Saccharomyces cerevisiae S288C: one gene and its partners. The protein of the gene in region 2 purifies or fractionates together with the protein of the main gene of each other region. This does not show direct contact. Each region holds a gene or a part of one and is shown on either strand. Other genes may lie near its edges.

The links.
Region 1: the proteins of CEF1 (region 2) and PRP11 purify together in Saccharomyces cerevisiae (affinity purification with mass spectrometry; 2 studies listed by BioGRID). This does not show direct contact.
Region 3: the proteins of CEF1 (region 2) and HSH155 purify together in Saccharomyces cerevisiae (affinity purification with mass spectrometry, with the first as the bait; 4 studies listed by BioGRID). This does not show direct contact.
Region 4: the proteins of CEF1 (region 2) and BRR2 purify together in Saccharomyces cerevisiae (affinity purification with mass spectrometry; 4 studies listed by BioGRID). This does not show direct contact.

The regions. Positions count from the first base shown.
Region 1 is NC_001136.10:373,708-379,757, reverse strand, and holds PRP11 (spliceosome assembly protein PRP11), read left to right. Parts: upstream 1-3,277; coding exon 3,278-4,078; downstream 4,079-6,050. Other genes in the region: peptide alpha-N-acetyltransferase complex A subunit NAT1, read left to right, coding at 1-884; NAD-dependent histone deacetylase SIR2, read left to right, coding at 1,313-3,001; MTF2 (Mtf2p), read left to right, coding at 4,469-5,791. UniProt on the Saccharomyces cerevisiae protein: mRNA splicing factors, PRP9, PRP11, and PRP21, are necessary for addition of the U2 snRNP to the pre-mRNA in an early step of spliceosome assembly.
Region 2 is NC_001145.3:688,590-695,653, reverse strand, and holds CEF1 (Cef1p), read right to left. Parts: upstream 2,274-7,064; coding exon 501-2,273; downstream 1-500. Other genes in the region: SCJ1 (Scj1p), read right to left, coding at 1-304; EFR3 (Efr3p), read left to right, coding at 2,611-4,959; DML1 (Dml1p), read right to left, coding at 5,144-6,571; MGL2 (putative carboxylic ester hydrolase), read right to left, coding at 6,789-7,064. UniProt on the Saccharomyces cerevisiae protein: Involved in pre-mRNA splicing and cell cycle control.
Region 3 is NC_001145.3:841,708-849,903, reverse strand, and holds HSH155 (U2 snRNP complex subunit HSH155), read right to left. Parts: upstream 4,334-8,196; coding exon 1,418-4,333; downstream 1-1,417. Other genes in the region: aminodeoxychorismate lyase ABZ2, read right to left, coding at 95-1,219; DSS1 (exoribonuclease II), read left to right, coding at 4,559-7,468; mitochondrial 54S ribosomal protein uL30m MRPL33, read right to left, coding at 7,702-7,962. UniProt on the Saccharomyces cerevisiae protein: Contacts pre-mRNA on both sides of the branch site early in spliceosome assembly.
Region 4 is NC_001137.3:528,680-539,538, forward strand, and holds BRR2 (ATP-dependent RNA helicase BRR2), read right to left. Parts: upstream 7,343-10,859; coding exon 851-7,342; downstream 1-850. Other genes in the region: TFIIH/NER complex ATP-dependent 5'-3' DNA helicase subunit RAD3, read left to right, coding at 1-739; RAD24 (Rad24p), read left to right, coding at 7,621-9,600; monothiol glutaredoxin GRX4, read right to left, coding at 9,755-10,489; TMT1 (trans-aconitate 3-methyltransferase), read right to left, coding at 10,785-10,859.

The DNA of each region.
Region 1 (6,050 bases), on a different chromosome or scaffold from region 2:
TTCCAAAGTTTTATAAACAATTCGAAGATGACCAGTTGGATTTCCATTCATACTGTATGAGAAAAGGTACGCCAAGAGCCTATCTGGAGATGTTAGAATGGGGAAAGGCACTTTATACCAAACCCATGTATGTTCGCGCAATGAAGGAAGCATCAAAGCTTTACTTTCAAATGCATGATGATCGCTTAAAAAGAAAGTCCGATTCTTTAGATGAAAATTCAGATGAAATCCAAAATAATGGCCAAAATAGTAGCAGCCAAAAGAAAAAAGCTAAGAAGGAAGCAGCCGCTATGAACAAACGGAAAGAAACTGAAGCCAAGAGTGTTGCTGCTTATCCGAGTGATCAAGATAACGATGTATTCGGCGAAAAGTTGATTGAAACCTCCACTCCAATGGAGGACTTCGCTACCGAATTTTATAATAACTACTCCATGCAAGTCAGAGAAGACGAAAGGGATTATATTTTGGACTTTGAATTTAACTACAGAATTGGAAAGTTAGCTTTGTGCTTTGCTTCTCTAAACAAATTCGCTAAGAGATTTGGCACCACGAGCGGTTTATTTGGTAGTATGGCCATTGTTTTGTTACATGCCACAAGAAACGACACCCCCTTTGATCCAATTTTGAAGAAAGTAGTCACGAAGAGCCTTGAAAAAGAGTATTCTGAAAATTTCCCATTAAACGAAATATCTAACAATAGCTTCGATTGGCTGAATTTCTACCAAGAAAAATTCGGTAAGAATGATATAAATGGCCTGCTATTTCTGTATCGCTATCGCGATGATGTTCCGATCGGAAGCTCTAATTTGAAAGAAATGATTATTAGCAGTCTTTCTCCCTTGGAGCCTCACTCCCAGAACGAAATTCTACAGTATTACTTGTAGCCTGCAACTCCTCAATGTGTCAATTAACTCTTACTTAATTTATGTATATATTTTTTATGTATATGCTTATATGCATGCGCATATGCTCATAAAAGATACATTGTTATAGGTCATTTCTTTTCCAAGCTACATCTAGCACTCCTTCCAACCATGGTCCAGGACAGCCAGGACCTTTTCTTGCCAAAATTCTTGCTTTCCCATCTCAGAGAAAAAACGAGGAATTTTTCTTTGTCCTCTTTGGCCGCCAGTTGCGGTAAAATATTTTTTTTCTAGGTCGCATAGTTTGAAAGACTTGTCTTTTTCACCACCCAAGAAAAATATATTTAGTGAAGAGATGTAAAGCCCATTCTCACGTATTTCAAGAAATTAGGCATCGCTTCGGTAGACACATTCAAACCATTTTTCCCTCATCGGCACATTAAAGCTGGATGACCATCCCACATATGAAATACGCCGTATCAAAGACTAGCGAAAATAAGGTTTCAAATACAGTAAGCCCCACACAAGATAAAGACGCGATCAGAAAACAACCCGATGACATTATAAATAATGATGAACCTTCACATAAGAAGATAAAAGTAGCACAGCCGGATTCCTTGAGGGAAACCAACACAACAGATCCACTTGGGCACACTAAAGCTGCGCTCGGAGAAGTGGCATCGATGGAGCTCAAACCAACTAATGACATGGATCCCTTGGCAGTGTCAGCAGCTTCAGTAGTGTCAATGTCCAATGACGTTTTGAAACCAGAGACGCCCAAGGGGCCAATCATAATCAGTAAAAACCCATCAAATGGTATTTTCTATGGTCCCTCCTTCACTAAACGAGAGTCTCTCAATGCTCGAATGTTTCTGAAATACTATGGTGCACACAAATTTTTAGACACTTACCTCCCCGAGGATTTGAACTCGTTATACATTTACTATCTTATCAAGTTGCTAGGCTTTGAAGTTAAAGATCAAGCGCTTATCGGCACCATCAACAGTATTGTCCATATCAACTCGCAAGAGCGTGTTCAAGATTTGGGAAGTGCAATATCTGTCACAAATGTTGAAGACCCATTGGCAAAAAAGCAAACAGTTCGTCTAATCAAAGATTTGCAAAGAGCAATTAACAAAGTTCTATGTACAAGATTAAGATTATCCAATTTTTTCACTATTGATCATTTTATTCAAAAATTACATACCGCTAGAAAAATTTTGGTCCTGACTGGTGCAGGTGTTTCAACTTCATTAGGGATCCCGGACTTCAGATCTTCTGAGGGGTTCTATTCAAAGATCAAACATTTGGGGCTCGATGATCCCCAAGACGTTTTCAATTACAATATATTTATGCACGACCCCTCTGTTTTCTATAATATTGCCAATATGGTTTTACCTCCAGAAAAAATTTATTCTCCATTGCATAGTTTCATTAAGATGCTACAAATGAAAGGGAAATTATTGAGAAATTATACTCAAAACATTGATAATTTGGAATCTTATGCGGGAATAAGCACAGATAAACTGGTGCAGTGCCATGGCTCTTTTGCTACTGCCACCTGCGTTACCTGCCATTGGAACCTACCCGGTGAGAGGATATTTAATAAAATTAGAAACCTCGAACTTCCACTATGCCCGTACTGTTACAAAAAAAGAAGAGAATATTTCCCAGAGGGATATAATAATAAAGTAGGTGTTGCTGCATCACAGGGTTCAATGTCGGAAAGGCCTCCATATATCCTTAACTCATATGGCGTTCTCAAACCAGATATCACATTCTTTGGCGAAGCACTGCCAAATAAATTTCATAAGAGCATTCGCGAAGATATCTTAGAATGTGATTTGTTGATTTGCATTGGGACAAGTTTAAAAGTAGCGCCAGTGTCTGAAATCGTAAACATGGTTCCTTCCCACGTTCCCCAAGTCCTGATTAATCGTGATCCCGTCAAGCACGCAGAATTTGATTTATCTCTTTTGGGGTACTGTGATGACATTGCAGCTATGGTAGCCCAAAAATGTGGCTGGACGATTCCGCATAAGAAATGGAACGATTTGAAGAACAAGAACTTTAAATGCCAAGAGAAGGATAAGGGCGTGTATGTCGTTACATCAGATGAACATCCCAAAACCCTCTAAGTAGAAGGCAATTTAATAATTTAAAAGTGCCAAATTAATATCAATTTACATAGTATGGCAAACAATTTTGTTTTCCTTTCAATTATTGTAGTCAAATATTATTTACATTCTGCTATTTTCATTGTACCGGGTGAAATATTACATGTACCGCCCATCTCACTAAAAAAATGAAAAAAAAAAATCTGCTAAAGACGCAAGGCTCTCACAAATAGCTTAATGTAAGAAGGGCAGGTGGAACAGCAAATTCAAATCATTTAACGCATCCATACATTCAAAATGAACTATTTAGAAGGCGTTGGGTCAAAGAAAGGAGGTGGTGGTATAGCCTCAGAATCTCAGTTTAACTTACAACGAAGGAAAGAAGTCGAATCATTACTTAGTAAAGGCGAAAATGTCCCGTACACTTTCCAAGATGAAAAGGACGATCAAGTAAGGTCCAATCCGTACATTTACAAGAATCATTCCGGTAAACTGGTTTGTAAACTATGTAATACAATGCACATGTCGTGGTCCAGCGTTGAAAGGCATTTGGGTGGTAAAAAACATGGTTTAAATGTGTTAAGGCGTGGTATCAGTATAGAGAAAAGTTCTCTAGGGAGAGAAGGCCAAACAACTCATGATTTCCGACAACAACAAAAGATAATTGAAGCTAAGCAATCTTTAAAGAATAACGGTACGATCCCTGTTTGTAAAATAGCTACCGTGAAAAACCCGAAGAACGGTTCAGTAGGTTTGGCTATCCAGGTAAATTATAGCAGTGAAGTCAAAGAAAATAGTGTCGATAGCGATGATAAGGCTAAAGTCCCTCCTCTCATTAGGATTGTATCTGGTTTAGAGCTATCAGATACCAAACAGAAGGGAAAAAAATTTCTCGTTATTGCGTATGAACCCTTTGAAAATATTGCTATTGAGCTACCTCCAAACGAAATATTATTCAGCGAAAACAATGACATGGACAATAATAACGATGGAGTAGATGAATTAAATAAAAAGTGTACATTTTGGGATGCTATATCAAAACTTTATTACGTTCAATTTTTCTTTAAACAAGCCGAACAAGAACAAGCCGATGTATGACAGTATTATTTTTGGGTAACGTTAATAATCGGCATACAAAACTCTAACCAAATTGGATTATATAATAGCTATTAAGGAAACAATTGTCTTTACAAGAGTTTTTTTTACGAAATTTTCCCATCCAATGTGCACTTATTCTCAGGGAGTATAATAACCATATTCCTCTAAAATTATATTACTGCTCAACTTCCATGCGCTTTTGCGATCTAGAGTATTTATGTTACCATTTATCAACAGTATCTAGTACTCGCAGCATACATACGTATTTATTCAGAAAAATGTAATTAGGCGAACAAGGCCGAAAACTGTGATGTGACAACGCTTGCTATACTTGAGAGATAATTGTAAAGGAAGAAGAGGGAACTAAGGAAGAGTACAACACGCCATACAATGATCAGAACATCATCTATATTAAAAAACTGTAACTATAGATACATACATTGCATCCATAGATGCTTGCTGAATGAAGCCAATTTGAAAGATAGAAAAACTCACAACGTAGAAAGAGTTTCAAATGAAAAGACATTTGAACAAGCTCTCGAAGAGGAACGTAAGGTATTTGGAGAACTATTCGAAGCTGGAGCAAGGGTTGAAAACATGAGGCACACTAATGCTAGCAAAATAATTGACAAGTATTACAATGGGCTACAGGACAACTCCGAGGGAACTAGTGTAAAAAAAGAAAAAATTGTTTTTAACCACAGTCAAAGAGCTCAAAGGAAGCTTCCAAATAAGGACCATGAATTCCTGAAGGAAACAGCAGGCAATGACTATGTCTACGAACGGGCAGAACCTTCTGCTATTAGCACTAAAACGATAAGTGAGCAGACAAGAACTTTGCTGGAAAAGATATTTGACGAAGATAATAGCATTAATAAAAGCAACAGAGAATTGCTGAATCTTAATCTGCGCAAGGGCTCGGGAATGGAAGCTTTGAGGCAGCCAGTTGCACATTCCAACGTCAAATTTAGCGAGGAAGTGATGCAAGAAATTGGTAATAAGATTCGGTACCAAACCACACTGGATCAGGTTTTAGAACCTCACATTGACTACTTGAGGGAAGCTGTTAAAAGTGATTACGATCTTTTAAGATACCTAAAGCAATCACTAGACATTTACAAGAAAAGGAACAAAGACCTAGAGTTAAAGATGAATGCAGAATCTTCAAACATTTTCGAAGACATTAGAAGTGCGTGTATAAATAAACCGGCAGAACTACCGAAACCGCTTGCAATGACTTTACCATATATTATAGTCAAATCGCTTAGATTAGGTGACTTTGATTTCCCGGCAGACAGAAAGTACACATTGATCTCCTATGTTTATAATGAATGTAAAAACAACATGGACGCTTCACTGTACCTAACAATTTGTAATGTTGATTTCTACAATTTGCTGGTTCAGCTATTGTGGGAAAACTTCCAGGAGATTCGCTACTTGAGACGTGTGGTTACCGAGATGAGCGTTAATGGTGTCATCGGAAATATTGAAACCGTGGATATATTGGATAAGATTGTCAAAGAAATGAGAAGTTTAAATGAGGATGTCTTTCTTGAAGCAGGAGAACAGCTCAGTGCAGATGAGGAAGTTTCGTCCAGCGCAAATAAAATAGTGAATGTAGGTGTTTTATGGAATAAAGACACGAATAATGACTTACTAATTGTTGAAAATTATCTCAAAAGCCTCAAAAAAAATTTAACTAGAGACAGGTAGAAAATTATTCAAACCTTGTAAATAGTGTTATATATATGTGTTAGACTTAAAAGCGCTAATAAACGTTCCTGCTCGCATTTAACTTCTGTTCCAATTTTCCTATTTTTTAGTTAGCTTGTTCGGCAGATTTCAAATTCATTGAGTCCGAGGAAACAAAAGGATGGGAAGAGCTCAAAATTTGGAGATGGGTTTCATATACAACACGTTGGTTAGCAAGAACCTAAGGATCCGTCTATAGAAAGAACCTCGAAAAATCTTC
Region 2 (7,064 bases):
CTGGACCGCCACCGCCACCGCCATTCTTTACAGCATCTGCACCAAACTGGTCATAAATCTTTTTCTTTTCAGGATCGCTCAATACATCGTATGCCTCGCCGACTTCAATGAATTTTTGATGGGCTTCTTCGCTCCCAGCATTTTTATCCGGATGGTACTTCTTAGACAATTGTCTGTACGCTGATTTGATTTCCTTCTCAGTGGCATCTTTGTCTATCTCTAGTATTGCATAATAATCCTGCGCCAAAATTAGCGGCAACAACAATAAAGATAGTATCAAATGTATATATAATTTTGGAATCATTGTCCTCGATCTTTTCGCCAGCCAATGCACGCTCTTCTGGCCTATCCACCATGTTTTGTCAGTACTACATCTTATTACCATCGCTGGTTTGCCGATGTGGCCAACTTGGCAAGAAAACGTTCTAACTCCGGGTAATGCGTTGTCACAAGTCCTCTATGTCCTAGTTCATAAAAGTTATATTAATGCTATACTAATGCTATATGGAAGAAGAAGAATTTAGCATGGCTTGAAGACGCTTTCTACGACCCTCAAGCGATCGTATCTCTTGTCGGTAGGCGTAGTAATCAGCGTAGTACTTGCGTTGCCCTTCAATCAAAGCGGGCAGGCTGTGATGGCAGAGGGTACTGCACATCTCGTTATTCTGTTGTTCCAGTGGTTGCACATGTTGTAGTTTACGCTGTAACTGTTCAATAGACTCCACTTTTGATTGGATCGATTCCAGAAGAACCTCAGTTGGGGGCATTGCTGTTTTGAATTGTATTTTCATGGAAGTGCGCCCTTGGGTTATATGCTGCATACGCGACTCCACCTCTTTGAGAAAATCTACCGTATCTTCTGGTACCATGTGAGGTTCTTTGTTTATGGCGTTCGCGACTAGCAAGTTGTACTTATTGTCAATCGCGGACTGCGGATTGTTTTTGAATTCTGGTATGGGTAGCGTTGAGTAAGCTAATGGAACGGCTACTAATGAGACGCGTGGCGCATCATTTTGAGATGGTGGTTCTATGAAGTTGTCCTCTTCATTCATCGCTCTTTCATTTTCAAATTCTTTCTCGTATTCCGCTATCTCTGCATCTTCTTCTTTCTCGTCTTCACTTAATACAATTTCGAAATCGTTCTTGGGACTAGGCAAAGATGCGAACATTTGCACTAAAAATTTTCGTATGCGTGATTTTAGCTGTTTACCACTCTTTATATTACTGCGTTCATTATCTTCTTGGCCGGAGTCGTGGGGTAGTAGTTCTTTTGGTGTCAACACAGTGCCAGTTGCTTGTGCCTCGATTAGTTTTTGTCTTTTGCTTTCTAGCTTTTTTTTATAGGTGACTTTTCCCTGTTTCGTTCCTGGTGCAGATAGTATAAGTTTTGGTTTTTTATACTCATCCGTCAATGTAGTAGATTCACCCAGTGCTGCTTTCTCAACGTGTTCGTTCTCATCGTGTTTTCTTTTTTTGTCCTTATTTTTTTTACTTGGCTTATCCTTATTACCATCCAAACCTTTTCTGTTGACTTTTCTCTCAAACTGCTCAAACTTCTTTTTTATCTGGCGGTCTTCAGTGGACGTGTCATATATACCTGGCATGGGAGCTTGTTCATATACTATATCTTCATTGTAATCAATGTCGGTGCCGTATTTTTTTTTCGGTTTCTTAATGGCAACATTAATTCCTGCTTGCTTTAGCTCACGCCTCTTTTGTAGTTCAGCAATGCGTTTTGATTCTTCGAGCATCCGCTCTCTAATCTTTCTTGTAGCCTTCTTACCTTGGGTATTTAACAGACGAGCCCTAGCTTCAGCAAGCATTTCCTTTTCCTCATCTTCCAAATCACCATTATCTGGTCTAGCCATTTGAGTTTCAGCGTTAGGATTAATATCCCCGGCTTTCAAGTCAGTAACTCCTGTACTTAACGCAGCCCCTCCACTGTCTTCACTTTCTAATAGCCTATTATATCTTTCGACGCAGACCTGTGCAGGCCTGGCCATCATATCAGCTATGGTCCTCCACTGATTAGGCAGCTCTCTTGCAAGATCTAGAAGTTGGGCATCCTCCTCCTTCGAGAACTCTGTAAAATTCAACTTTGGATTTAAATATTCATTCCACCTTAATTCACTCTGCCTGGCAGTCTTTTTCTGCAAAAGGGATGCTACTTTGCTCCACTGATGAGTTCCGTATTTTTGTACAGCCGCTTTAAGAATCTGATCCTCCACATTGGTCCATACACCGCCTTTCACGTATATTGGTACGGGGGGCATCTTGAAATGCTAGTATAGTCCTCTTAGAAATGTTTTGCTTTTTTTCTTTACTATCTTCCTGAGTCGCATATGCTTTTTTGTCATAATAGTTCATAGCATTAATTTTTCATTAAACTTCAACCCCGGCCAAAGGAAGAGGAAGAAAATTTTGTTCGAACTACTAGGAAGGTAATGGTTTTGTTGAAAAAGCCAGGCAGCCAGGATAAATTGAAAGTATTGTGAGCAACCCCGCTATTGGAGTAGTATTAATTCAGTGGCAGACTGTATATTGAACCCAGATCATTCGCTCTATTATTCATCTTTCGTTCATTTTCAATTGTTCTGAAAGTGGTTTGCGATGCAGTTGTCTATGCGGATGATGTTCACACCAAAACATCAGAAACTGGTCAATCAATGTTATCCTACGGGAAGGACCACAGATAAGAAGCCTAAATCTTCGGAAACTTCATATTTGCTATATTACGTTAACTCGAGGCGTAGTAAATTGGAGAAAGTTAGCACTTACCTGATTAAGCGTTCCACTTCCGACTTGAACCATCGGCGCATAGGGAACATAGCCGTTACATTGGATTTAATGAACAAAATTGTGTTGCATTGTAAGGAGAATTTGAATGTATTTGTTAAAGATTTTTTGTACATTATGAACAAAGTTCTTTCCAACAACAATTTTAACAATGATGTATCTGTTGTTGAATTAATAGAACTGGCATTTAGTAGTATATGCCAGAACTTGGACGACGTCTTGTGTAACGGTGACATGGAATTCGTCCAGTTATACCAGAACTTTGTTGATCTTTTTTTTAAAATAGTTACTGAAAGAATTCATAATGATGACATGCTTCTGAAATGCTGTATTGATATATCAAACACAAATAGTGTTTCAAGCAACCCACAACTAAACCACTTTGTTTCCAAGTCTGTTGCCTATACTATTTCAAAGTTCCAAGAGAGAAATCCGAAATTTAAAACTTTGTCGCTGGAAGCAGCTCTGGAGAGCAATTTAGGAAAAAGGCTAAGTCGAACACAAACTCGTACAATTGGGTTAGATAAGGCCGCCGAAGATAATCATGACCTTTCAGTAAAAGCATTGCAATCCTATTTTAACACAACTGAGACAGACAAATTGAATTTGTCTATTCGTACTCTGTTGCGCTGTCTGCAAAGTACACCTAATAAGGAACTGCTAGAGTTTGTATGCAATGGTATACCTGTTCAGTTACGATATATTGTTATACTTCTTTTGGTCAGACAACTAAGCGACAAGGATAAAAATGTAAATCCAATTGTTTCCTTGAAATTGATGTCGTCATTACTTGTTTCAGATGTCAGTATAGTGGGGTTGAGTGTTCTTGATATAATGAGAAAGCTTTTAAATTTCCAGTTGAAAAATGCAACTAATAAAGAAGTTGTGGCACAGTCTTGTATCACCATGACAGACCTTAACCATAAAACTTATTACGCTGAACAGACCTCAGATATGTTATATGAACTACTATTGAAATTGAAAAGTGACACCGTCAAGGATGTTGAAAAGAATGCAGTTGTGGAAGATATTGATTTCCTCGTTGAACATATTACGCAGCCAAGTATCAGTTTGGAATTATTCATCGACTTGGCGCATTACATGAAAAACCACATTATATGTTTATTTAACATTGTTGAAACTGAGGTTCCAAGCAGCATTCTCTTTTCAAAACTGTACTCATTATTACGTGAACTGGATTCACATGGTGTGCAAAAAGAAATGATGGAAGAGATCTTTGACAAGTATGGAAAAATGGCACTATTATCCGGTTTGAATTATTTTCTAGAGAACGTTTCTGAGCCTGAGTATACCTATTATTCGTACCATTTACAAGCAGCTAACTTTTTAAAACTCAATGACTACAAGTCACAAACTGAGTACAAAATGCAAACTAGAACTTTGTTTACCAAGGAAGATTTATTGTCATACTATTCTGATACTGGATCAAATAAATACAGCAAGAAGGGGGCGCAGATTTTATTGTCTCGTGATAATCAAATTTCTACTTCTGATTTACTGTCGGACTCTCAAGTTCGTACTACACCTCTGGAGTACAAGAATGTCCCTAATGCTATTTTTTCAAATGGGAAAGCAGTGTATGATAACAACGATTTTGCGGCCAAGCAAAATAAATTCGACAACAGCATAGATGACAATATAGAAGAAGCTAACGATACTGTAATTTCTGATGCTAATGCAAAAGGTAGTATCTATAGGTTTGTTGCTGAGGACGCAAGATCATGGAAAACAATGAGAGCCACCGCACCAAAAGTTAGCGATTTGAAAAAAACTATGAATGAAAAGAATATTCCAAATAATATGAAAAGAGATGGCTCTTTTCGGGGTTCTCAATCAGTGAAATCTCGTGTCACTAATATCACATTTTTATTAAATGAATTGAAAACTTTTTCAGATGACGCGAATAAAATCAAAGATCCTGATGAGGAGAATATTGTTGGCTTGGATAAAATCGACGTTGCTAGATCAAATTCTCTGCGACTTGCACCAATATCTAGTCTTTCTGATCGCAGTAGCATTGGAAATAGAAAATCCTTTTTGCAAAAAACAGCAACTGGTGAAAATCAAAACGATGACTTTAAAGACGCAAATGAAGATTTACATTCTTTAAGTTCAAGAGGTAAAATTTTCTCCTCCACTTGAGAAATTAAGTTTTTGACGGACAGCTGTGGATGCTTTCAAGGGCAAGAGTGATATAGCATGACTTTCTAATTAATGTAATTTACGTAGATATAGATCAAATGGCGAAGTAAAAACTTCGAAAAAGATGGAAGAAGTCCTGTTTGCCTCAACTGGAGAAAGGAAATACGTAGCTGCAAACTGCTTATCACATATCGTCATCACCAGAATCTTCGTCTTCATACCACCCAGATTCGTACGCTGAGGCGTAATCGGAAAGTTCATTTTTCAATTCTTCTCTGTCACTATCATTTTTGAAGTACCTTACCACAAACTCATTCCAATGTTTGAATATATCTCGATTTTTTTCAGATGATTCTAATTCCAAAACAAATTCACGATCATTGGAAAATTCTGTCGGTATCGTATCAGATGGAAAATACCTGTGTGTATACATTTCAATCATCTTACTCCGTGAATCAGGTTCGGAATGATGTTTATGCGTTTGATTTCCTCTATCAATGAAACTTTTTGAAAATATGTGAGTAGAATTTGGTTTGTGGCTATTCTTGAAAGGAAGTACTCGAGAACAGAATGAGTAATCGGTGTCACCGATAACCATGCCAGTGACCATATTTCGCGACGAATATCCTAAGGTAATGGCAGTTGTTAGATAATCCATTGTCTTTCTTTGTTCAAGATTGCTTTGGGAAATTGTCGCATTTATAGAATCAAATATCCTACAGCTCTTTCCAGCAGTTTCCCAATTAGTTAGTCCAGGAGCAGCATACAATGGGAAGTAAAGATCGGATTCTTGCATCATATTTATTGTGCTTCTTAATTTGTTCGAAATGATCGGGAGCCATTTCTTTGAAAGTCTTTTCATAGGGAAGTCATCTGTGAATGGATCATCTTCATTGTGTCCCCATGAAAAGACCGCCTTTTTAGGTAATTCATTCCTTAATTCCACCAGTAGAGCACTAGAAAACCCGCCCCATCCACTCTCCATATCACTTACAAGATTGAAGCCTTGCAGGGTGTCACATTTTTCCAATTCTCTATGCAAATTTCCATCAAAAAACTCTTGCAAGTAATTTTCGGTAAATTCGTCATAACCAATGGAATACCTGTCAAACTTTCGCTCCCCCAAGTTTTGAAAGTCAGGTTGGTTTGGATTTTCAGTGTCATGGTACCAATTTCTCAAAATATTGAAACTTGAAGGACCATAGATAAGTTTAGAATAGTCAGACCAATACATCGTATTTTCTCTGTTCAAACAAGGCAGCGGTGCTCCTGCATCTAGAGAACTCTGATATTCGGATTTAGGTATTCTTGGATGAGTCTTTATAACTGTTTGCTCCTTGAATTTGTCTTCATTGCCGAAATGATAGTCTTGGCTTTCTGAATATTGATATGTTCCTAGTGAACCATTACCTGTACGGGCATCCCAAAGTAAGGCACGTGGTGCATATGAAATTGTTTTTGAAACTTTATCTACAACCGAATTCAGAAAAATTTTGGAGTCATTGACTTGTTGTTCTTTAGACAATTGTAAATAGCCCTCTTGTATATTGAAGAATTGAGTAGTCAAATGGTTTGCTCTCTGCGAAACCGATATCGTTACTACTTCATGCATTTTTTATTCTTGTCTGCCAATTATATATGTAATTTTAACAATTAACCCTCTTCTTCCAAGGTTTTAATTCATCGCATCGATTATATTTTGTTCCATTCGAAATTTTCCATTTTAAGTTTGGCGAAGCTTTTCACGTTTTCATTCAGAAATAATGATGTCGAACATCAAAAAAAAAAATTATCAGGTTACACATCTAAAAAGTTGACTTATTTACAAACTAATTCGCGCGAAAGGTTGTGGCTATGGGTTCGCAATTAGGATCTGGGAGTTGAACATTTTCCAAGTCAGGTTTTAAGCCCTTTACAGTAATTTCGTCGTGAAATATTTTCAAAAATCTGCATAAGGGTTCTGCGTACCACCTTCTGCCGGATCTGTCTTTGAACCATCCAACATGCCCCCCCGTCGAAGTTTCTAGAAGCAAAGTGTATGGATTGGATTTTATTTGGTCTATAGGAAGATCACCTCCGACAATTGGGTCATCCTGAGCATGCAA
Region 3 (8,196 bases), 150 kb from region 2:
TGTCTGTATCAACCTGCACATATTTGAGTATGTAAAATCATGATTTGTAAACTATTGTAAAAAAACTTCATTGATATGAAAATCTGTCGTCTGCTCAATATTTTGTCTTCACTGTTCCCTTTATGCATCCCATGACGCCATTGAAAAGCAAAACTTCGTTGCCAACGGTAAGGCTTCCTATATCTATATCTCCCTCTTCAATAAGGCCGAGCCGCAATAAATAATGACGCATTGTTCCGCACAAACATCCAGTTGCTAATCTTGGTGTCACATACTTTTTAGAACCGTTAGGATCTTTTTGAATTACAGCCACGTTTGTTATTGAACCTTCCATCAGCAGGCCAGATTTGTTGGAAAATAAAATTTCGCATTGCGAGACAGAAGAAGTAGGTTCTGAACCTCTTAAGTTATTTATAGCAGTTTGCATGCGAACTCTCGCCCTAGCGTAATGATCTCTTGAAGTGGTTTTAAAACTGGTGAAAGCTGATGCGTTCAATGGTTCAGATGAAACAACAACATCCCAATTTATTGTGCTATCAATTAAAAATCCATTGAGCATCGTTTTGATGAAGTATGTGGAAACACTGTCATAATCGGTTGTTAATTTTAGGATAGGCTCCATAGGCATTGGAATTGCCTCAATTCGTATATCTCCTGTCTTAGAGACAAGTACCCGCATTTTATAGCATTGCCTTTCGTTGATCATTTTTTGAATTTTTTCGTGATACTCTGAATTTCCTTCTTTACAATTAATCAAGTTTTCAACCAATAACTTCAATAAATCATTCAGAGACGTGCTGAAGTCAATTTTAAAGTATGATAATGCTATTCTTATTCTTTGGTATTGTTCATCTAATAAAAAAAATCGTTCATAAATGACTTGTAGCATATCTTCTACACGCTGGCACACAATGGTCTTGCAATCATGCTTCCAAGCATCAGGATGCTGAATATTTTCGAGAAGGTCACCGCCGGAATTAACCTCCCTTACTCGTAAATAACTTGAGTAATCCTCATTAATTATCTGCTGCCTAATATCTTCGTCTCTCAAACCTAATCGAGGGTCTGGAGTTTCAAAGATCTCTTTCTTTGACGCTGACTGGCGTGCAAAACCAGGGTCGTACCTGAAAGTGGCCAGAACCTCGAAGTTCGGATTAGCAACTAGGCCTCCTTCATCGTAACTTTCCATATCAGTCTTCCAATTGTCCATTAGTGACATCTATTTCTTATTATCCATGTCTCGCTCTTCATCTTTCTTTTACTCACTTTCACAAAATTTTTTCCTGCCCTTTTTTTTCCAATAGCAGGTTCTGTTTATATTTCATCATAATCTATGAAGGCATCGTGACGTGATGATATAGGTGTGTCAAGTAAAATATTCTTACAAGTTGTGGTTATTTATATGCTCTATATATATTCACAGAACTAAATCCAGTTCTTCTATATATTCTTCATTGTTGTCTGGTGTAACGGGGTAAAAAGGTACCATGGCGTCCTGGTACATTACGTACATGTTATTATACACCCTCCAAAATGCTTTCCTTACATTCTTCGCTGGATGGAACAATCCTGCCCATATGTAGTTCATGAATAGTCCAGGGCCAAGAGCTTGACTCAGTGCCTCCAAACCTTCTAAAATACGCATAATAGCATGTGGTGAAGTTTCAAAAATATTGGGTATTAGAAGATTCATTAAATGAATGAAGGCATCTTCGTGACCTGTACCTGAACAGTTTAAAGCTAAGTGGGTTATTACGTTCGACGCTGTCTGACGATGAACTAAATCCCTATCGGTGAGTGCATCTTCTAATAATGGTGTTATGAAGTATATGTAATCCTTAGACATGTTACCAATGTACTCAAACATGAATGACATGGCCTTGAGAACACCGTTTTGAACATTAGTCTCTGGTGTTGTGTATTCATTCATGATTACTGGCAGCACGTTGTAAGGACCACACACTTTAGCAACGATACCGATAGCAACAGCCGTGCATACACGTAACTGACGTTCTTGAACCTTTAAATTGTTCAATAACGCAACAAGAACATCGTGAGGTCCAATTGCTTCAGCAATGAATCCAAACGTGGCATTTGCTGATCTTCTTATTTCTTTATTTGTACTTTTCAAAAGTTCTAATAGTTCAAAACATATTCTCATCCATTCTTTAGGAGGTGCATAGGTAGGTGCTAATTTACCAATAAGTCCAACAAATTTGATAGTGTTTACTTCGACTTTTCTATGCTTGTTTCTTAAAATTGGAGTTAAGGTTGGTAAAATTTGATTAATAGGAGGTTGTAGTTTATCCAAATCCATTACGCTAGTAATACAGTACATAGCGTTGATTATAGAACCTAATACCTCTGGATATACTTCGCCTAAGGATTCATACAATATAATGTTCAATTTATTCAACATTTCGAATTCGTGACAGTTCTTGATGACTGGTATTAGTATGGCACATAGATCTGCTGCATGTTGACGAACCAAGGGAGTTTTATGCTTTAAATGATTTAAAATCGTACTCACAATGGGTGCTAAAAACGGTTTCATACGGATGTCAAGTGACACCGTCACTGCCCCAAACCCTTTAAAGATTATAGAATCACTATTTGTTTGTTCTTGAAATGCTATCAAGAGCGCATCAATAAGCCTCGTTTCTAATCTCTCATCTAAATCTGCTGTCCCTAATAAGTTTACTGTTCTAGTAACAGCATGGACAGCCATTGTTCTGAACGGCTCAGCTTCATCTCTCAATGGTGTTAATAATTTATCAATGGTATAAGAACAACCTAATTTCTTTGCTAATGTAACAGTAGTATATGTAACAACTTTGTTTAATGGTCTATCCAATGCCACTCGTCTGACCCAAAATTTTTGAAAGAATTCTGGCGCGATTTCTTCTCTCAGAAATTTTGGCGTTATGGATTCTACAGCGCTACATTTTTGTAATACTAAAAGAATGGTCTTTTTCATTTCATCATCGGGAGAGTCGAATTCACGTCTAATTATTCTCATTGCTTCTGTGGTATAATAACCGGCATACTCTGGGTCCATCAATGGGATCATAGATCCAACAGCTTTTAAAAAAGAAGATAGCACTTTACCACGATGACTTCTTATACCCTTCCATAATGGCTCCAGTACAACGTTGAAAACTTCGATACCATATGGATAAGAATTTTCTGCTAGTGTTGATAAAGTATGTGCTGTAACAATTCGCACCGGAACGTGATCATCCATTAGGCAGTCTTTGATACAACTCATCAGCCCAGTAAGATGATTCAAGACACCTATTCCCAAAAGTATACCTATTTGCTGCACAATTTTTATGCCAGTATGCCTTGCTTTCCAAGACTTCCGTGAGTGGCATGCTGCATTGATGAAAGGAAGCAATTGATTAACACCAAGGGCTTTTGCCACCACAGCCGCCGCTCTTGAAGTTACATTTCTAACATACTCATCCTCATTCTCAATATCAGGTCTCATTACTGTTAGAATGGTTTTTAGGCCAGCGACTGTAGACAGATTGGTGATTATCTCCTGGCCTGTTGAACGAACCATTGGATCTTCATCTATTAGCAATGGGGCAGCTACTACAAGTATTTTGTGAACGTAAGGTTTTGTTAAATCTCCTAGCTGGTAAAGGACGCGATCTATGGTCTTGATCATTAGATGTCTTTCCTGGTCTTCCAAACTTCTGTCTAGTAATATGGGCAATAAGCGGTTAAATATCATTTCTGGACCAAATGTAACAGCTTTATCGGTTAAAATCCGCATAGAAGTCCTCCTACTCGCTGTATTGCCATTTTTTATTTTCAGAAGTAACATCGACAGGGTTCTTTCTTTCTTTTCATCCTTATTTAACTCATCTATGGGTTTTTTGGATATAACGTCGGCGAAATATTTATGGTCAGAAGGTTTAAAAAACATCAAATCATGGATTCCTTCTACATTAACCAAAGCACTATCAGAGTTTTCTTTGACCGCTGTTGAAGATTCATCAGGTGGCTCGTACCCTTTTACATCCCAACGAGATTTTCTTTTCCTTGGCACGACAGCGTCTTGGGTATTTTCTGAAGACGTAACAGTTTGTGTATCGGAATCCGGCTCAAACTTCATATCAAACCTTCTTTTGTGGTATGAATCCTCTCGATTTTGCACTGTCCTAGTTTCCATTTTTTCCTGTAGCACATCTTTTTCGTTCTCACCAATACGTGCAGCTTCTTTCTGCAGGTTTTCCCTCAAATCCTGAGGAATAGAATATTGACCGCCTAATTGGTGGCTCTTATCGCTATTATTAGCGTTTACAAATTGAATCGGATGACTCATGATGACAGGTCCTGGCTTTCTATGTTTATTATGTATAAGTAATTGAAGAGATGTTTCAGTTCTAACTCATCGAGAAGGAGATTTCTGCTCGGGCAAATATCAATGCAAACCCGAATAAGCTTAAATACTAACAACGTGCCAAATAACAGCAATCACGTCTAAAAAGCTTTCAAGAGACGATAATTGGTTGTGCATATCTGTCAGCGGAATAAATAAAGACAGGTGATGGTAGTTAGGCGGAAAGTACATGTTCTTCTAATTGCAAGGAGCTTTCATTCCTACACACCTTGCTTCAGAGTAACTACCAGAGGCAAACGACAGCGAAGTAAGAGTAAGCAGCAAGCAAAAGTAGAACTAGATCACACACGAGAGCTAGATAATGATCAAGCTACAGAGACAGTTGTAGACCGTTCGGTTGGACCGGAGAAAGATATAGAATCAATAAACAAAGACTTTCTGCAACGAACAAAAGGATTAGAGCCTGATATTGAATTAAAACAACTGCCTCAAATTAAACAGGAATTTAACCAACGTTATAAAGATAGGTATGTTAAACCTTCCGAAGATTGGTACGTAAACTCCTGGAGGTCTTTAACAAAACCAAAAATTCCGCTTTACAAGTTAATAAATTCAGATTTTCAATTAATAACAAAACTGAAAGCTCCAAACCCAATGGAATTTCAACCTGTTCAGCTAATGGAAAGTCCCTTAAATGTTGGTGACTTTGTTCTTTTAAAAATGAGACCCAATGAATTGGCGATGTGTGTAAGTCTTCCAAGTAGCACTATGGATCCTCGATACACTTTTGTTACTATTGATGGAACTATGTGCTTTGCGACCAAAAACCGGGTGTTATTGAGGATTCCTCACAAATTACCTGCTGGAATCCATTCACTTATACAGCCTGAGAGCCATCACAAACATTTGCCAATTGGAACCGTTAAGAACTTTTCTAACCAAACGAATATTTTGCCTATTGTAGCAAGGCAGCTAATAACAAGTAGGTATCCAGCCCAAATTTCAAAGTTGGCCTGGAAAGATTTGCCCATTACTACCAAAAAATTACAGTTACTCCACAGATCATTACAAAATTATATGGGTCCATGGCAGATTCCTTTTTTTACCCTAGTCGGATTAGTTCAGAAATTGGATTTAAATAAAGCCTTGGACGATAAAAATGGAATAAATTACTTAACTAGTTTAGTTAATAACTATCACACTGTAAACGATATACCAATAAATTCACCTACCTTTGTTTCCACGTACTGGGCGATTATGCAACAACAGGAATCGAACCTTTGGGGGGAAATCCATCTGAATACAGCGTTGCTGTCGCCTATATCAGTAACGATTATTCCCTTAAAATCACAACATTTATATTATGCGCAGGTGATAGAGAAGCTAGAAGCCAACAGTTATAGAGAGGTCAATAAGTTTGTAAAATTGGTGAATGAAAGGAAATATCGCGATATATCAGCTTTATATCCTTCTGTGATCCAATTATTGAAAGATTTTGCTGCTGGGAATTTTCACAATAACGGAATTATAGTAGCTTTGATCTCAAAAATATTCAGAAAGATAGAACGCTATAAGGATTGTGACATCACAAGAGATATATGTCAAGATTTAATCAATGAGATAACACCCAACTCAATACCCAATCCATTGTTACTTAACATGGATTTAGCATTACCTGCTTCCTCGAAGTTAGTGAAATGGCAACAAAAACTCTACGACTTAACTAATATAGAAGAATTGCAATGGAAAAAATCCGGCACTGATGACGATAGGTACGATTTTGGCGATCTTAGGGTTTTTTGTATAGACTCTGAAACTGCGCATGAGATTGATGACGGCGTGTCGGTGAAAAACTATGGTAGAGATGGACTGTACACTTTATATATTCATATTGCGGATCCAACTTCTATGTTTCCGGAAAGCACTAATGTTGATATTGAGGGTATAAGTACAGATATCCTAAATGTTGCCTTGAAAAGATCATTTACCACATATTTACCAGATACGGTTGTTCCTATGTTACCTCAATCTATTTGTCACTTATCAGATTTGGGGAAACAAGGACAAAGGACGAAAACTATATCCTTCTCTGTTGATGTTAAAATCACTTCTAAATGCAGTGGAAAATCAATTGAAATTATGTATGACAGTTTTAAAATCCGGAAAGGCATTGTGTCCAACTTCCCAAAGGCCACTTATGAAGATGTTGACAGGATACTCGGTACACCCAATAGCGAAGCATCACCTGTCAAAAAGGATTTGGAAAGTTTGTCCATGATTTCCAAATTATTGAGAGAACAACGTATAAAAAACAGTAATGCTGTTATTTTCGGGGAGGGCTTTAATAAGGGCCTAGTGATGCTAAACGCCGATTCAGAAGGAGAACTGACTGAGGTAACATTTTCGGATCAAGAGGAGACGCTGTCTACCATTTTGGTTTCAGAAATGATGATCTTGGCGAATACTTTAACGGGTAGATATTTTGCGGAGAACAAAATCGGTGGTGTGTTCAGATGTTATAAACAGTTACCACTGGGCGAAGTAGCACAACAACAGTATGATTCTATGATAACAAGTACAAAAAAAGGAATTTTTCCCAAGCTAAAAGATATCGTTAAGCTTTCTTCATTGTTGAACTCGAGTTTTTATACAGGTCGACCTTTTAGACATGAAATGATTGGAGCTAAACAATATTTGACAGTAACATCCCCTCTTCGTCGTTTTCCAGACTTGATAAATCATCTACAAATTCACCGTCATTTGCAGAAAAAGCCTCTATGTTTTAATCAAACACAAATCGACAGTTTGATCTGGCCAATTCAATCTCGAGCGGATATTTTAAAAAGGGCTAGCCGTAATTCGTCGACGTACTGGACACTGAATTATTTAAAAAAGCTAACCAAACTAGAGCCAGAAAGGACTTTCGATGTAATGGTAACATCAGTACCGCAGAACGGATTTACTGGATGTGTTTTTCCAGACTTATCGTTCGCTAGAGGAACATTAAAATTGCATCCAAGTTCTATGCATTATCCGATGATTGGAGATATCGTGAAGAATTGTAAAATTTCAAAAATTGACTGTTTAGAAGGAATGTTAGAGTTGGAAAAGCTATAAAAAGGGACTCTTTTTCCAAATATAAAATTCAATAGACCATGCATAATTTTCTTCTTGTAAATATATACATACATAAAATATGAAATCGAGATAGTGTATTGATTTCTTTGTATCAAAAATTGCATAAATTACTATTAACATATGTGCCTATGCAGGAAAAAATAATACTATATACATATATAAGTCAGGAATATCAAGAAGAAAGGAAATCCAGTTGCCTTATTTTCGCTGTTTCAGTCGATGGTTCTCTTCTCCACTATAAACCCAGGGTTTGACTTTCTCAACTCTCGTTGCTGCGATGGTGTTAATTCATGTTCTGTTACTTCTACTTTGACTAACTCTTTTACTTTAGCTAGGGAGCCAGCTATGGCCGGGTTTACTTTTTTGTAGACTATGGACCCTCTTTTACCTAAACCCAAACTTTTGACAATGCTCTTCGTTGTGTGTGGCACACCGATAAGCGACCTACTCAACGTGACTTTGTAAAACACCATTCCTGATATCTGCTTTCAACGTGTTTTAGCTGGTCCATCAATATTGATTCCATCACCTAACTTTTGGGATGATATACTTTATCCTTAATATCTAGAAAAGCTCTTCGAGAGATATTTCGTGCAGAAAGACCATTCATTTTTCAAAAAATGGTTGCACTAAAGCAAGAGGAAAGGAAAAGTAGTGTTGCAAGAAGATGAGATTGTAGTCTCCTTATAGCTTCTTAATTGTAGTTA
Region 4 (10,859 bases), on a different chromosome or scaffold from region 2:
ACCTGATGGAATGGTTGTTTTTTTCCCCTCATATCTATATATGGAAAGTATTGTTTCAATGTGGCAAACAATGGGTATTCTTGACGAAGTTTGGAAACATAAATTAATTTTAGTTGAGACTCCTGATGCTCAAGAAACTTCTTTAGCCTTAGAAACCTATAGAAAGGCTTGCTCAAATGGGCGTGGGGCAATTTTGCTTTCTGTTGCTAGAGGAAAGGTATCTGAAGGTATCGATTTTGATCATCAATATGGCAGAACTGTGCTGATGATAGGTATCCCGTTTCAATACACAGAATCGCGTATTTTGAAAGCTCGCCTAGAATTCATGAGGGAGAACTATCGCATCAGAGAAAACGACTTCTTATCTTTCGATGCGATGAGACATGCAGCTCAATGTCTGGGGAGAGTACTGAGAGGGAAGGACGACTATGGTGTAATGGTACTAGCAGACCGTAGGTTTTCAAGAAAAAGAAGCCAGTTACCAAAATGGATTGCTCAAGGTTTGTCTGACGCCGATTTGAACCTTTCGACTGACATGGCCATATCCAATACCAAACAATTCTTGAGAACAATGGCACAACCCACAGACCCTAAAGACCAAGAGGGTGTATCTGTTTGGAGTTATGAAGATTTAATAAAGCACCAGAATAGCAGAAAAGATCAAGGTGGATTTATTGAAAACGAAAACAAAGAAGGAGAACAGGATGAAGATGAAGATGAAGATATAGAAATGCAGTGATGCAATGATACGCTTTTGCTATAAACTGTATATATCACAATTAGATTAAATAGCCGCAAGAGAATGTTATATATTGAAATCCATTCGATTATCCAGGACTAAACAATGATTTTATTTCACATTTATTTCAAAGGACAACTCTTTATCTGCGTCAAGATATGAATCACAGACACACCAAATTGTTAAGTTATGTTTACCAGATGTCGGAGTGTCAAATTCCAATTCATATTGCTGAGTCTCTTTATTTAAAGTAACTTTCTTGATCGCATAAAGCTCTTTTTTAGATACTTCACCTAAAACCAACCACCAACTTTCTAGCTTATCAAACGGATACTTTTCAGATGTTACTTGTAAGTTCTCAGGTTCAACATCTCTTGTCAATTGAATGGTAATTTTCTGTTTTACACCTGAAATTAACGAATCAGAATTATTCAACGAATAAGTAAGTTCAACGTTGGGGTAATTGTTAACAAACGCGGCGACCTGCGCAAGCTGTGAATCAGTAAGCGTTAAAATTTCATCCCTCTCTTCATCCTCAAGGGCCATTATATCATAGACCGTCTCGACGTTAATTTCTTTACATTTTTCCAAAATTTTGTTGTTGAAGTGTGGAATCTGTCTCAACGGATTATCAACGTCCCATACACCCTGAATCAACATCTGCGCCAAATCCATGGCGGTAGTAGCATTCAAATACCCGTTTGCTGAAAGGATATCAACCACTACGTTAATTAGTGGAACAACCTTTTCTAGAATGTCTTTTAAATCATTTTGAAAGTCGACAGGTAATTCAAGACGTGAAAAATATGCTTGTAACAATAAGAAAACTTTAAAGCTCACCGAACCAGAAGAGGTGTGTTCAGGGAATCTCAATGGTAGTCTTTTACTTAATTTGACAAGTAATGCTCTGTCTCCTTTTCTGAGTGGAACACTTTCGAATTCTACTGCTGTTGAAAGAACATACAGCATGTTTTTGAGCGTTGACGTATTCGATAAAGAAGAAACGAATGACTGAATAGTAAAAAATGATACGCCATAGTGAGAAGCAATTAGCCCGTTGCTCAAGGTAGAAATGATTTCAGTTGCTTCATCATCTCCTCCATTAACTTCTGCGGTTACTTCAGCTTCTGTATCGTCAATTTCAATGAAGGATGATTCAACTAAGTCATTCAAACAAGTTTCAACTAAATTACTCAAAAAAACTGAAATTCCATGTGGAGACGTATCCCTTACGCCATAATAGCTTGGATTCACATGGATACGACGATAGAAATACGAATATGTAAACCAGTCAACACAATCTTGTTTGCTTTGTATAATAGAATTTGCTATCTCGTTGTTCAGAGTATCATGAATAATATACTGTAGGTAACTCTCAGTAGGCAAAGGCTCAATTAAGAATTTTTTGTAGTAGGCCTTCATGTTGTGACTTGTCAAAATTAAAACCTTGCCTGCCATTGAATCGTTACCACTAGCTAGTCCCACCATTTCTAGAAGTTCATTTATGGTATATGGCATATATTTATGCTCTGCACCATCATAAAGGTTGGTTCCTAAAATAATCACTTCATCAGTTTTACAAGCGAATGCAGAACAATCCTTAGAAATGAGTAAAACCGATACCGCACCATATTCGTATAACCTTTTCACAATTCTTTCATCATTTGATGCCATCCCCTTATACAAAATACCAACACCGTGTTTTAAAGGTGCTCTTAGATGACCATCTGTTAACTTTTCAATGTATGGTACAATTTGCTCTTCTTCAACGTTCAACATATCCCATTCAATTGCTTTTGAAAACTTCATAAATGCAGACGCAACTTCCATACAATCCTTTCTAGATGGTAAGAACACCGAACTGGAATTACGATTTCCCGCTGCAGCAGCAGATGCTTCAAATGCCATTTGAAGCATCGAAAAATTGAATGATATGTGCTCAACATCTTTAAATGACTGAATATTAATTTCAAGAGGCTCAATTCTTTCGCTTGGAGAAAAGTTGTAGATGTTTGACTTCGTCATACCAGCCCATTCACCAAAATCACGAGCATTTGCCAAACAGTTCGAAAGGCAAACAAATCGAATTTTCTTTTCAAGTTGGGTTGCTATAAATATCATTCTAGAAATTAGCGTTTCATACACAGCACCGTAAACACCTTGGCTAATCTCATGAGCGTCATCATATATCATTAATTCTAAACTTTGGATGTTCTTCCTTTGTCTCCAACGACGTGACAAAAGCTCAAATTGCACGGGGGTAGCCAAGAGAACATGGCTTTTTGCTAATAATTTTAAATTTAGTGAAGGATCATTTCCTAGCTTATTTATTATCTTACCACCAGCAAGATGAGAGAACCTTTTATTCCAATCAGATAGCAAAAAATCAATTTTTTCCCCAGACGGATTGATATAAACCGCTCTTCCTTTATTCTGTCTCCAATGATTTAACAGTGCTAATTCAGCCATAGCTGTTTTACCTGTGCCCTTTCCTGAACCTACAAAGACCGAGTCATTCGAATTGTAGAGAGACTCGAAGACCTGGCTCTGAATCTTGTTGAAAGTTTTAAATTCAAATACTTCGGAAAAATCATCATTGCCAAGCTCTGATGTTGAAATACTAATATTCTCCAGAAGGGGAGTAGGAGGAGGAAATTTTTTCGGAAGTTTAAATCCATTGAAGGAAACTGGAATCTCGAATTCACTGTGCCACCAATTTTCTGATATCAAAGTAAGGAAGAAATTAGGTGGTAAGTTATTTTGATTGTGCTGCTTTAACTCATAAGTAAAGGATAAGGTAAATTCATGACCAACTATATCTGGAGTGATGAATAGTACGTCATAATAAAGTATTGAATCACCATCAGTGTCTTCTAGCATGAGCAAAAAAGGTTCAAGGGAACCGTGTACATTCATATCCCATATCCAGTCGGCTATTATTTCAATGTTGAACCTCATAACGCTACGGGTAATTGGCTGAGCGTTGCATGTTACGGACATTTTGGGAAATCTTTTCAATAAATCGTAAACCTGTTTTCCATATTTTTCAGATCTGATTGCACGACCAACTTCGGCAGGTGTTTCTAGCTGTAGATAATCTCCCCACGGTACTGTAGAGGCTTCCAGCCTTTTAATCACTTCGACAGGGCATGTTTTAAACTGTCTTAAAGGACAGTTTGTTGGCCACATTTTAGTTGTGGCAGATTTGCAAAGATTTAACAACATCCGTGTGGGATGTCCCCATCCTCTCTTCAAGCATATTTCAAACATAGCACGCAATAACCTACCAGCATTTTGGTGAATAAACACTATATCAGAATTAAGTGCAAAACCTTCGAACTTTAGCTGGGAAAAATAAGACTGCAGTAGTACATTCACTTTTGCTAAAGGATCATCAATATCTTCTCTGATAGGAATGGGTGCTTTCTCTAGAAGTTGTTTTAGTTCTCTTTTCTCTTCATATCTCACCGATACGTACTTAAACTCTTCCGACATTGAGAATATTCTAAAAAGATCAATCTGAGTTGTATGTTCATCTAACTCTCTATTGTAAACATCCATGGAAGCATGATTTATGTAAAATGACGACGCTATATTTCCTAGATCGGTCGCCTCAATTACATCATTTTCAGCATCATATAACACCAACTCTTGTTCTTTTAAAATGCATAGGGCCGAATGGACTAAGCTTTCTCTAAACTTTTTCAATTGCCCATCACTTGAAATATCAGGTACTTTGTAAAGCATAGGGGAAGCTAACATTCTGACATATAGGTAAGTATACGCCAACCAATTCACAGCATCATTCCTGCACTTAATGTTACCCGCGACAACTTCTGCATTTAAGTTGTCAACTAATTTTGAAACAAATTGCGATTCTATTGGTAATTGTTGATTTAAAACCGAGAGATAATATTGAACATTCGATTGGTCTGTTATTATAATACCCTCGCCAAATGTGTCATATCTCGGTCTGCCTGCTCTACCTAACATTTGAAGTACATCTTGTGGAGAAAGTTGTTCCCAGGACCCCTTTTCAGGTGAATAGACATCTGTTCCTTTTATAATCACTGTATGAGCAGGTAGATTAACACCCCATGCTAACGTCGCAGTGCATACCAATACTTGCAACAACCCGTCTGCAAATAAATCTTCAGATAAGGATCTGTCACTTCTGGTCAGCCCTGCGTGATGCGTCCCTATACCGCTTTCAATCAACTTTCGTAGACTTGGATCGAGTACGTTGGCTGCTTCTGTCTTTAAAATCTGCTTCGATCCTGCATCATTTTTGGTTAATTTATGAGTAATGTTCTCTTCAGCAAATTTATTTTTCAACCATGTTGCTGTTCGTGATGTTTCTTTTCGAGAATGAACAAACACGATTATTTGATTACCTTCATTGATGGATTCCAATACCTTTTCATAACAAGCATCATTCATAGCCTTCAGCTTTTTCAAGGAGTTCCGTTCCTTAATGCCACAAAACTGTTGAGATAGAGGACACGGTCTAAATGAGGAGTCAAAATAAAACAATCCTTCCTTCGGAACTCTTAAAAACCTACCGACATCCTCATAATTTGGTAAGGTGGCAGAAAGGCCTATTATTCTGGGGTATTCCTGGCCATATTTGGAAGCCCAAAATGTCCTAGCCACGATGCTTTCCAATACTGGTCCCCTGTCATCATGTAACAAATGTATTTCATCTATAATCAACAAACGAACAAGTTCTACGATGGCCAAATTATTTGAATTTCTAGTAGTTATGTCCCATTTCTCTGGCGTAGACACCAAAACCTGCGTCTCGTCAATTTGCTTTCTACTAAGCCTAGAATCACCAGTCAATTCAGCGACTTTTATACCTAGAAAAGCCAACCTCCTTTGAAATTCTCGGACTTGTTCCTGTACTAAGGCTTTCAAGGGTGCTATATAAACAATTTTAAATGCAGAAAGGTTTAATTTCTTAGTTTTCGGGTTATAATGATGGGATAAGGCTTTCAATACCGTCAATAACGCGATATTCGTCTTACCTGAACCAGTGGGTGCACATATTAGCATGTTTGAATCACCTTCAAATGCTGCGTGAAAAACCTTTGATTGTATAGGGTTTAAGGACGTTGTTTCCGATGAAGGAAACGCCTCCTGACACCAATCTGGTAGAGAAGTAATTTCTTTCAACTCATAATCAATAACAGGTTTGCTAGGAGCTGGAATATGTATTTCGTCATATTGTGGTTTCACCCTTTTGAATGATCCTTCCGGTAGGGATACTTTTGTCACGGTCATTAATTTAGAACTTTCGTCGAATTTAATCTTTTCCAAATCTATGACGGGCGGTATTGCTGGATTACTGAATTTTGTTCTTTTTGCTTCCGAAGACTGTGGCTGGTCGTCACCGGAATCGAGTTCACGCTTTGAGTGTGTAGTTTCTCTAAATTTATACTGTTCCACAAGATCATTCAAACCTTTTGCAACCATTTTCTCTATTAAGTTCGGTATTTCATTCTCTGTGCTCTTCGCCAGTCGTATGCCCCAAAAAATTGTAGATCTATTCTTGAGAATAAATTCAGCCAGTGATATATTCTCGAATTTAAGCAGATCAACCAACTTCTGCTCCAACGCTACTGGATTATGCTCAAGTGTTTCAATATCATTCAAAATTTTTTCTGACAGGTCTTGTATTACAGAGGTATCCTTGTAACCAAGCTCTGACCGAAGTTTTCTCTGCAAAAAAAATTCATCGATTGAGTATATCGGAACGCTCTCGATATTACTTGTTTTACTATCGGAGAGTTTAATTATATCGTTTTCAATGTTTGGCAATGCCCTCTTGTTTTTTTTTTTAGAATTGACTTCAACGTCATTGTAATCATATTCCTCATCATCATCTTCATTATCATTGATTTCTCCCCCAAGAACATTAGCATTGTTGGACATTTCTGTTACTTCTTCTTCATCTGATTTTTCATCATCGGCAAGAATTGCTACTGCTTGTTTATTGCTATTGTCAGGATGTGTTTCATAATCGGTAATGTTTTTCATAAGTTTAACTAATTCGTTAAACTTCAGGGAGTCTATATTGATGCCTAGCTCATGCTGGATCTTTTCCTTTCGCTCTTCAATATTACCATCCTCATTTTCCTCATTTTCTTTCAATTGTCTGATGAATATATCAGCAGTTCCAATAATAAGATCATGGGGTATATCATTGCCTAAAACTTCTGTAACCCACTGCAAAATCTGCTCGTAAGTTTCGACATTTGAGGGATCCTTTGGATAATAATGTAACCTGAAATCGGAGGAAGAATTCAAAATGGTGTTATGCTGCTGAATTTTTTTCAATGATGCGCTCTTTCCAGTTTTTTCAACGGCTACATCATTTTCTTTTAGTCCTTTATTAATGTTATTGCACAGGCCCTGTCCCATATCCTTAGCACTAATTCTACCACTCATGGATTTTGGTTGTGATATTTCCGCATCCCTTTGAGGATTTTGGCTGGTATTCATAAAGCGTTTATCAACTTTCAACACCTTATTGGACATCTCATCATAACGATAAATTTCTCTAATTTTTTTGGCCTTATCCTTCGTTTCATGCTCAGTCATTTTTAATAACGAAGGCTCACGGTAAATCTTCCAAAGCAATTACTTATATTTACCTTCACCTTATTTTACTCAAGATTATCTCTATTAGTGTATTATTCCTTTATAGTAGACATAGCTTTAGTAGCATAAATTTTTAATATTCTCGTAAAGAGCGACAATATTCAATATTAGATCGTCAAAGAAGCAAACACGCATTGATATCTGAGAGATCATCACAATGCGTTAATAGTACTTGATTCAACACCACTAATTATCAAGTTTGTTCCTGTCTGAATGATATGGATAGTACGAATTTGAACAAACGGCCCTTATTACAATATAGTCTCAGTTCATTGGGCTCGCAAATAACAAAATGGAGCTCATCTAGACCGACTTCGCCAGTTCGTAAGGCGAGAAGCACTGAAAATGACTTTCTTTCCAAGCAAGATACGTCTAGTATCCTCCCAAGTATCAACGACGACGGCGGTGAACAGTGGTACGAAAAGTTCAAGCCCAATTGTTTGGAGCAAGTGGCCATACATAAAAGAAAACTTAAAGATGTACAAGAAGCTTTAGATGCCATGTTTTTACCTAACGCCAAGCATAGGATCCTACTACTGTCTGGCCCCAGTGGATGCTCTAAAAGTACGGTCATAAAAGAACTCTCAAAAATCTTAGTTCCTAAATACAGACAAAACAGCAACGGAACGTCCTTTCGAAGCACCCCGAACGAGCATAAAGTGACCGAGTTTAGAGGTGATTGTATAGTCAACGATCTTCCTCAGATGGAAAGCTTTAGTGAGTTCTTAAAAGGCGCACGGTATCTTGTGATGTCCAACCTGTCATTAATACTTATCGAGGACCTTCCCAACGTCTTCCATATAGATACCAGACGTCGATTTCAACAACTTATATTACAGTGGCTATATAGTTCGGAGCCTCTATTACCTCCCCTTGTTATATGTATAACTGAATGTGAAATTCCAGAGAACGATAATAATTATCGCAAATTTGGTATTGATTATACATTTAGTGCAGAAACCATAATGAACAAAGAAATATTGATGCATCCAAGGTTGAAAAGAATTAAGTTTAATCCAATTAACAGCACTTTATTAAAAAAGCACTTGAAATTTATTTGTGTACAGAATATGAAAATGTTGAAGGAGAAAAATAAATGGAATAAAAGACAGGAAGTCATAGATTATATTGCGCAAGAGACTGGTGATATTAGGTCGGCCATTACGACCCTTCAATTTTGGGCGACATCAAGTGGAAGTTTGCCGATTTCAACCCGAGAATCCACCATATCATACTTTCATGCCATTGGGAAGGTGATACATGGTTCCCATAGCACGAATAACGATAACGAAATGATTAATAACCTCTTCGAAAATTCGAACAATTTGTTATCGAAAGAGGATTTCAAATTAGGAATATTAGAGAACTATAACACATTTAATAAAGGCGAATTCAGCATTTCTGATGCATCATCAATTGTGGATTGCCTGAGCGAGTGTGATAATATGAATGGTCTACCAGAATCCAATGAGTATGGTTTACGAGAAGTGCGCAAAACCTTTCGTAACATCAGTAAACAAGGCCATAATCATGGAACGGTTTATTTTCCAAGAGAATGGAAAGTAAGAAAATTACAAAATTCATTTAAAGTTCAAGCTGAAGATTGGTTAAATGTTAGTCTTTATAAGTACAACGCGGTACATTCTTTCAGGAATATAACTCTAGAATTTGGCTACTACGCACCTCTAATTAGAAAGTGTCAGAGTTATAAAAAAAAATACATTCTCTATTATTTGAAGAATCTTCCGAGTGGCTCCTCGGGGCCCAAACAAACCATGGACAAATTTAGTGATATAATGAAAGTTGAGAACGGAATCGACGTTGTGGATCGGATAGGCGGGCCTATCGAAGCACTATCTGTGGAGGATGGACTAGCACCATTGATGGATAATGATAGCAATAATTGTGACCATTTAGAGGATCAAAAAAAGGAAAGGGACAGAAGGCTTCGCATGTTGATTGACCAATATGAAAGAAATGTGATGATGGCTAACGACGATCTTGAAGACGAAGAAACTTCTTTTAATGATGACCCTATTGTCGATAGCGATAGCGATAACAGCAATAATATTGGCAATGAAACATTTGGTAGAAGCGACGAAGACGAGTCTCTATGTGAAATTCTGTCCCAGAGACAGCCGCGTAAAGCGCCAGTTATCAGTGAGTCCCTTTCAGATTCAGATCTGGAAATACTCTAACTTTTTACTCTTTAAATTTGACGAGAAAACCCCAGGAAATATTCCACACAAATCTATGCACATTACATTCTAGAATAAATTAATAAATAAAAATATATACATATATATTAATATGTATATATGTATGAATATAGTTTTCATTACAAAATAAGGCTTACTGTAGAGCATGTTGGAAATATTCAGGATCTTCTTCTATAGATTCCTTGATAATATCCAAACCTCCCTGGAACTCCCCATTGATATATAACTGAGGAAAAGTAGGCCAATCAGAAAACTTCTTCAAGCTTTGTCTAACGTTTTCGTCTCTTAATATATCAAAAAATCCGAACCTTATTTGGTGTTCTCTGAGGATACCAACTAACTGTCTAGAAAATCCGCATTTAGGTTCTGATGGGCTTCCTTTCATGAATAGCATCACAGGTGCAGCTTGTACTAGCTTCACCAGCCTAGCATTTATTTCTTCTTCAGTTTCGTCCTCTTCATCATCGGAAGACCCGCTGCTTTCCTCATCAGACGTAGATTTAGGACCCTTGGCATTGTTCGCTAGTGAGGCAGAAGCATTCGAAAGAATTTCTAAGCTTTTCACAAACTCCTTAGGATCTGCGGCTGATATTTCTTTTACAATAGTACCATTTTGAATGAAGACGAAGTATGGTACGGCTGCAATCTCAAAAAGGTCTGATATTTCTGGATGTTCGTCTGCATCTATTGATAAAAACCGGACATCCTCTTGCCTAACTTTTTCACTAACAGCTTCTAGCACCTGGCTCATAGTTTTGCAAGGATCAGCCCATTGAGCTTTAAAATATAAGACAATGAGTTTATTAGCAGCGTTTGTAGTGGTTAGTTGCGTAAATTGGTCCTGGCTTTTTATTTCAACCACAGTCATATTTATTGGAGGAAGAGCACAGAAATTTAGTTATATGTAAGTGGAAAAATGAAATATGCTCAGTACCCAAAGACAACAATGTTACCGGGAAAACGAATCAACGTTCCTGGCAGTAACAGATTAAAAAATGGTTCAACTGGTACAGTATTAATATGCTATTTAAGCTAAATATCAACCAGTCTTCAGATATGGTAACTTTTTCTAGGACATCTGTGAATACGTCGCGAGGCTTCACCAATTAAAACGCGCGCTCTTACTAAAATTTCACGAATATAATGCTTATTGGCTGAAATTTTCAGACCCTTTTGCCAAGTTTGTAAAAAGTATTCCAAACAACTTCAATTTTGGTGTTGGTGGAAAGTTCCGGCCT